2 linked regions of the Ovis aries genome follow. The protein of the gene in region 2 interacts with the protein of the main gene of each other region in a pairwise test. Links are inferred from orthologs where the notes say so. Each region holds a gene or a part of one and is shown on either strand. Other genes may lie near its edges.

Evidence for each region.
Region 1: the proteins of GRAP2 (region 2) and GAREM1 interact in binary tests that used the Homo sapiens proteins (3 or more experiments, as listed by UniProt). The link is inferred for Ovis aries from reciprocal best matches to the Homo sapiens genes GRAP2 and GAREM1.

What each region holds. Positions count from the first base shown.
Region 1 is NC_056076.1:25,032,804-25,037,211, reverse strand, and holds the start of GAREM1 (GRB2-associated and regulator of MAPK protein 1), read right to left. Parts: upstream 3,103-4,408; 5' UTR 2,658-3,102; coding exon 2,537-2,657; intron 1-2,536.
Region 2 is NC_056056.1:217,145,125-217,148,313, forward strand, and holds part of GRAP2 (GRB2-related adapter protein 2), read left to right. Parts: intron 1-2,212; coding exon 2,213-2,335; intron 2,336-2,953; coding exon 2,954-3,133; 3' UTR 3,134-3,189. UniProt on the Homo sapiens protein: Interacts with SLP-76 to regulate NF-AT activation. Binds to tyrosine-phosphorylated shc.

The sequences.
Region 1 (4,408 bases), on a different chromosome or scaffold from region 2:
ATGTTTTTCCATTCCTTTCTAACCTCTCTGAAAACAAGTGATTTGGAAAATGACTACCTTTCATGTCTAAGTATAGGGTGTATGTGTGTGTGTGTGTGTGTGTGTGTGTGTGTGTGTATAAAATGTACCTGCAGCACTAAAGCTGGCAAAAGGACATACACAGGGATGAGGGCTGCACAAATTTCACATACAGCATGGCGGCATGTCCTTAATGTGTTCTGCGCACTGCTGTGACACATTTAAAAAATAAACATGGAATCTATGACCAACTCTTTTAAAGTCTATCCAAATTTAATTGGTAATCTAACACTTTCCGCCCTTCAAATTAGCAAATTTTATTGGTTCTAGTTGTTTGTAAAATACTTATTATTTTAAGGTTGTAGGGAAGCTGCTACTCCCATGATTCTCCCTTGAGCATGAGTACAACCTTTAGTCTCTGAAGCAATTTGGCAATGTGTAACAAGGACTTAAAAAGGATTTACGTGTTTATTCAGCAGGGGAGGAATATATCCTAACCCAAACAAATAGATTTATGTATAAGAGTATTCATTACATCACAACTTAAAATTCATAAAATGAAGCAGCTTTGGTGTCCACTGCAGGGGACTCGATATATGGTACAGCCATCATCCCATGAAACAGCATGTAGCTTAAAAAAAGTTGTTTTTTTTTTTAAAATAAGATGAGACTAAGTGAAAGGACCAAAGTATAAAGCAGTATTTGGCTATGATTCCAAATTTGTACATGGCCACTGTGATCCTCAAGCAGTAATAAGAGAAACTTTACAATACGGAATTGGAATTACACATAATGATCAACATCCATTCCACAGCTTGAAAGGACACACTGTTAAGACTTGCTACCCACGTCCTAATTTGAAAAAGAAGTGTGGGATGAGTACACTGCTGATTCAGATCCTTTTTATGAATGGCGGGGAGAGAAGAAAGTGGATTGTAAAGCTGAAAGTTATGTCTGCAACTGACATTCAGCCTCTTAAAATTTTGTTTAATGAAACTTTTGGGTGACTTTTACACCATCTAGCTATTAAGTTTTGGTGAAGTGAGCAGAGATGAGAGAGAGGAAAAAGTGAGGAATCCTATAACCTTTCAGTATACACAATGTCACACAATGTAAGAATAAATGAAACTCAGAGTACACACACTCTCTCTGATTCAGACCTGCAGACACATATTTAAAGCACTCCTACTCTAAGCAGAAATGCCTCAAAACATACCACCTGACCATCCCTGAACTCACTTGCCCTTCATCACTAGTTTCAGAACTCCTAGCTTATTCCCAATGCCCACGACTACCACCACCAATTAAACAAAGCTAGTAAGCACGGCGAGACTGTTTTACAGTGATCTTGAACTCTCCTGCGTTTATTTTTCACAGCAGTACTTCAAACGTCTAATCTAACTCCTCAGAAGAAAGGGAACAAAAATGCCTTTAGATGCTTATAACGTCTCATGTTACACATGCCTGGACTCCAGAGAAAAAGGAGCAACCCAAGTCCTTTGAGCAGAAATGACACCTTTCTGCTCAGTGCTGATTTGGCGTGAGCTCAGCTTTATCAACTTGCCTGCCGGCCTGGGCCCAGGTGCTTCAAGCAGCCCCATAGCAGAGGCCAGCTTGTTTCTGCAAACAGTCTGAAACCGCATGAAGCCAAAATCAACAGAAGTTATTACGAAAACACAAAAGGAAAAACACACCTAAACTGCCACCTTGTCTGTCACAGCTCTCAAACCGAAAAGTATCTTGACAGTATGCACATCTATCTACCTGTTTGCAGATGTCAACCTGCAGAACAAACAGCTGGGAAACGTGGGGTTAGTCTCTGGTTGTCAATTTCAGGAAACACAAGCATGTCTTAGTTTTGAGCTCAGGTTCCAGGTCAATACAGGTTTTCCGGACTTCAGTTTTTTTTCCAGACTGGAAATGCGCTAAGCTAATAATTAACCTTAAGCATACCATCACCTCTACTAAAAACATTTGCTACACACAGCTCTAAATTACTTTCAGTTGACTTAAACAAAACAGACAAGCTGTAATAAAAGGTCTCTGAGAAATGTGATCTCTTTCATTGGTCATCCAGGACCTTTCCCCCTAAAATCCGCTCCTTCTTGGGGAGGGGCGGGGGAGAGTTGCCAAAATAAAGATGCCACCCAAAGCACAATTATTTTGTGAGAAAGTTACCTAAGCTAACTCTTCAGGGTTTCTCAGGTTGAGTAATTCTTGCAGGCGGGTAGGGAGGGACAGCTCGCCTCCAAGATTACTATCTGCAGAGGTTTCCCTAATGTTGATTTTTTTTTTTTTTTTTTTTGGCGTCCTTTTTAATTATCCTGCAAGGGCTTTGATTTTCACATCTCTAGCTGCTGCTGGGGGGAGTTGAGAGCGACGCGCTAGGGCTGCGGCATCTGCGCGGGCCAAGTCCAACGCCTGGGGGGCGGGCACCCCACTCCCCACCGGGTCCCACCCTCCCCGGCTCAGGCGCGCACAGCCCAGCCAAGACTGCGGTTCGCGGGCGGGGACTCACCGCTGTCCAGCCGCGCGATCTGGGGCAGTCGGTAAGTGCTGACCAGCAGGTCGAGCGGAACGGCCACCGAGCTCCACTTCACATCCTTGAGGCTGCAGCCCAGCGAGGGCGCCGGGTCCATCTTCCCCGCCTCCTCCGGCCCCGCGCTCCCGCCGCCGGCACCACCCCGCGCCTCGGCGGCCGCCGCTGCTCGCGCTCGCGGAGCTGGGACGCGCGAGGGGCGCCCGGCACTCCGGCCGCGGGCAGCCCGGGGGCGCGGCGGCGGCTGCGGCAGCCGGGAGCGAGGGAGGGACGGAGGGGGCCCGCGACCGGCTCAGCTGCCGCTGCGGGGCATGGCTGGGGCGCCCCGCGTGCCCTCAAGCCCGGAGAGGACAGGCAGCAGCCCCGCGGCGGCCGGGGTGGCTGCGGCGGCTCCCGCTCCGCCTCCTCCTCTGGCCCCGGGTCTGCAGCTGCGGCGGCCGCCCGCTCGCCTCCTCCTCCTCTCACCCCTCCTTCCCTCCGCCTGGAGCGTGTGAGGAGGAGCCGCGGGTCTGAGAAACGCCATAGCAGCGCTCCCAGCACTGACTAATCAACAAGGTGCGAGCAACGCCTGCGCAGCTCGGAGAGACCCCGCCCCCGCCTCCCCGGCGCCGCCCGCCCCGCCCCGCCCCGCCTCCCGCTCGGCCTCCCCCGCCCCCCGCAGCCGGGCGGGCTCGGCTAGGCGGCGGCTCCAGGATCCGGCGGGCGTCTGGGCGCGCTCCGCAAGCTTTAGCTCTCGCTCCCCCGTCCGACCGCTCCGGCGCCTTGCAGCCTCGCCAGGCGCCGCCGCACGCCCGCATTCCTTCGCTTTCCCGGGGCCTGCCCGGAGGAACACGGCGAGCTCGGGAATCTCACTCGTCCTGAAGATGTAGCTCCCTCTCTGTCCATCCCTCACCGTGGCGCTGGAGTTGCTGTTATAGGGCGCAAGAGATCTGTGTGGTGCCCATCTGTTGAGAGTGCCACAGCTGGGAAAAGCATCCATCCCTTGGCGTGCCTCCCGCCACCCCGCCCCGACAGTCCTAAAACTCTCCAGAAAAGCAGCTGGAAGTTACCCCCTTGAGTCTACACTCAAGTTTTAAGATTATTTTACACCAGACTCTGGCTACAAGGAGGAATGACAAAGGCCTAATCACCGAGAAACAGAAAGGTAACGAATTATCAGTATCCACACAAGGGAAGATGACTGTCGGGTTGGCACCTTCATTGTACCTACCGACAAGCTGCTGGAGACGGCGGGGATTGAGACCAACAGCCACAGACACGCCAATTTACTGGGAGGCGATGGGAACCAGCTGTTGTCACATGCTTTTCTCACTCATTTCTCTCCCAGGGTTGGACTAATTCTCGTTTTCTAGATATACGTACCAAGACATTTGGTAAATTGGCAAGATTGAGCACTTGTAGATAGATACGCCTGGATTCAAGCCCACAGTCCACTTTCTGTGATAAACACTCTGTTTTCCCCAATATTGACTGTGGCCTACTCCCTGCAGACAGAGCTCAGAGGTAGCTGTAAGATTCCTGTTTCTTTAAGCACATCCTAACTTTTAAGTGCTACTTTTTTTCTTTTAAGATTATTTTACACCAGGAAAATAATGGCTTCCCAGGTGGCACTAGTAGTAAAGAACCTGCCTGCTAATGCAGGAGTCATAAGAGGCCTGGGTTCGATCCCTGGGTTGGGAAGATCCCTTGGAGAAGAAAATGGCAACCCACTCCAGTATTCTGGCCTGGAGAACCCCATGGACAGAGGAGCCTGGCAGGCTACAGTCCATAGGTCCATAAGAGTGGGACACCACTGAAGCTACTTGGCACACAGCACACACACCAGCAGAGGCAAGTGGTGGCCAGGTGAAA
Region 2 (3,189 bases):
AGTCTTCTCCAACACCACAGCTCAAAAGCATCAATTCTTTGGTGCTCAGCCTTCTTCACAGTCCAACTCTCACATCCATACATGACCACAGGAAAACCATAGCCTTGACTAGACGGACTTAGTAATGTCTTAGTAATGTCGGCAAAGTAATGTCTCTGCTTTTGAATATACTATCTAGGTTGGTCATAACTTTTCTTCCAAGGAGTAAGCGTCTTTTAATTTCATGGCTGCAGTCACTATCTGCAGTGATTTTGGAGCCCCCAAAAATAAAGTCTGACACTGTTTCCACTGTGTCCCCATCTATTTCCCATGAAGTCATGGGACCAGATGCCATGATCTTCGTTTTCTGAATGTTGAGCTTTAAGCCAACTTTTTCACTCTCCTCTTTCACTTTCATCAAGAGGCTTTTTAGCTCCTCTTCACTTTCTGCCATAAGGGTGGTGTCATCTGCATATCTGAGGTTATTGATATTTCTCCCGGCAATCTTGATTCCAGCTTGTGCTTCTTCCAGTCCAATGTTTCTCATGATGTACTCTGCATAGAAGTTAAATAAGCAGGGTGACAATATACAGCCTTGACAGACTCCTTTTCCTATTTGGAACCAGTCTGTTGTTCCATGTCCAGTTCTAACTGTTGCTTCCTGACCTGCATACAGATTTCTCAAGAGGCAGGTCAGGTGGTCTGGTATTCCCATCTCTTTCAGAATTTTCCACAGTTTATTGTGATCCACACAGTCAAAGTCTTTGGCGTAGTCAGTAAAGCAGAAATAGATGTTTTTCTGGAACTCTCTTGCTTTTTCCATGATCAAGCGGATGTTGGCAATATGATCTCTGGTTCCTCTGCTTTTTCTAAAACCAGCTTGAACATCAGGGAGTTCACGGTTCCCGTATTGCTGAAGCCTGGCTTGGAGAATTTTGAGCATTACTTTACTAGCGTGTGAGATGAGTGCAATTGTGCGGTAGTTTGAGCATTCTTTGGCATTGCCTTTCTTTGGGATTGGAATGAAAACTGACCTTTTCCAGTCCTGTGGCTATTGCTGAGTTTTCCAAATTTGCTGGCATATTGAGTGCAGCACTTTCACAGCATCATCTTTCAGGATTTGAAATAGCTCAACTGGAATTCCATCACCTCCACTAGCTTTGTTCTTAGTGATGCTTTCTAAGGCCCACTTGACTTCACATTCCAAGATGTCTGGCTCTAGATTAGTGATCACATCATCATGATTATCTGGGTCGTGAAGATTTTTTTGTACAGTTCTTCTGTGTATTCTTGCCACCTCTTCTTAATATCTTCTGCTTCTGTTAGGTCCATACAATTTCTGTCTTTTATCAAGCCCATCTTTGCATGAAATGTTCCCTTGGTATCTCTAATTTTCTTGAAGAGATCTCTAGTCTTTCCCATTCTGTTGTTTTCTTCTATTTCTTTGCATTGTTTGCTGAAGAAGGCTTTCTTATCTCTTCTTGCTATTCTTTGGAACTCTGCATTCAGATGCTTATATCTTTCCTTTTCTCCTTTGCTTTTCGCCTCTCTTCTTTTCACAGCTATTTGTAAGACCTCCCCAGACAGCCATTTTGCTTTTTTGCATTTCTTTTCCATGGGGACGGTCTTGATCCCTGTCTCCTGTGCAATGTCTCGAACCTCATTCCATAGTTCATCAGGCACTCTGTCTATCAGATCTAGGCCCTTAAATCTATTTCTCACTTCCACTGTATAATCATAAGGGATTTGATTTAGGTCATACCTGAATGGTCTAGCGGTTTTCCCTACTTTCTTCAATTTGGGTCTGAATTTGGTAATAAGGAGTTCATGATCTGAGCCACAGTCAGCTCCTGGTCTTGTTTTTGTTGACTGTATAGAGCTCTGCTCACTCATCACATAAATGCATACGGTTCCCCCTCTGAACTGTGTTCTCTGAGGACAGGGGCCTTCTCTTTCCAGATACACATCCCCACGCTTAAGACAGTCCTAGACACATGGTAGGTGCCTGATAAATAGTCCTTGGTTGAACGGGTGAAATCTGGCATCATCTTCACAACCTCAGGTCTGTTTGTCACCCTATACCCTCTCTCCCTTATCTGGGGTTTATTGTCCCGTGCAGTAAGTATTCTTGGAGCTCTGGCTGCGTCCGCAGCATCGGAGCAAGGCGCTGGGGGAGCCCATGAGGGGTGCTTCCAGCAGTGTGGTGATGGCTATCTGTCACATCCGTTTCTAGGAACGCCGTGGAACCAGCCTGGACATAAACGATGGGCCCTGTGGCCTGGGCATGGGCACCGAAATGAATGCCGCCCTCATGCACCGGAGACACACTGACCCGGTGCAGCTCCAAGTGGCTGGGGTATGTGAACGTCCCTCTCTGGGCTCAATGGAGGAGACCGAGGGGCCAAGTAGAGAGACGGTTGGTCCTCCAGAAGAGGCCTCACACTGCGTGGAGTTCACATAGAGGTGGAGGGAACCCAGCCAGTGACGGTGGGGCGAGAGTTCGCGGCAGAGCTGATCCCAGCTGGCATCATCCGGCCTGCTGCCCTCAGTCTGGCCGTCAGGCCTTGCCCGGTGCCCGTACTTCCTGGCTGCCATTCTAGCAGGGGGAGGCCTGTTGCGTTTGTCACTGATGAGGCTGTGCTGGCACCGAGGCTATTAGTCTGGGCATGCTGTGCTCTGTTTGTCACTTGAAGAAGATAAAAAAGACCACCTATTGATGTAGGGATCCTCTCGGGGCCTTGGGGGATAGGCTCAGGGGTTGCTCAGGGCTAGACACCCGGGTCTGCTTTCAGTGGCAGCAGGGTTTGAGGTACCACTCTGGAGAGCCATCCATCAGCCTTCAGGGCAGGCTGCTCACGGAGAGCTTTGTCTGGACCACAGGGCCAGCAGATTCTCTTCCGTGTGTGTGCCAGTGACTCAGAGCCCAGCTTGGCCAGCCCGGGCTCAGCAGGGCCCCTCTGTTTTTCCCCAACAGCGGGTGCGGTGGGCCCGGGCGCTGTATGACTTCGAGGCCCTGGAGGACGACGAGTTGGGCTTCCGCTGCGGAGAGGTGGTTGAGGTCCTGGACAGCTCCAACCCCTCCTGGTGGACCGGCCGCCTGCACAACAAGCTGGGCCTCTTCCCTGCCAACTACGTGGCACCCATGATCCGATGAGGCCCTCTGGAGGGGACGGAGGCTTTTGTCTGAAGCTGCCTGCCTGCAAGGGACAG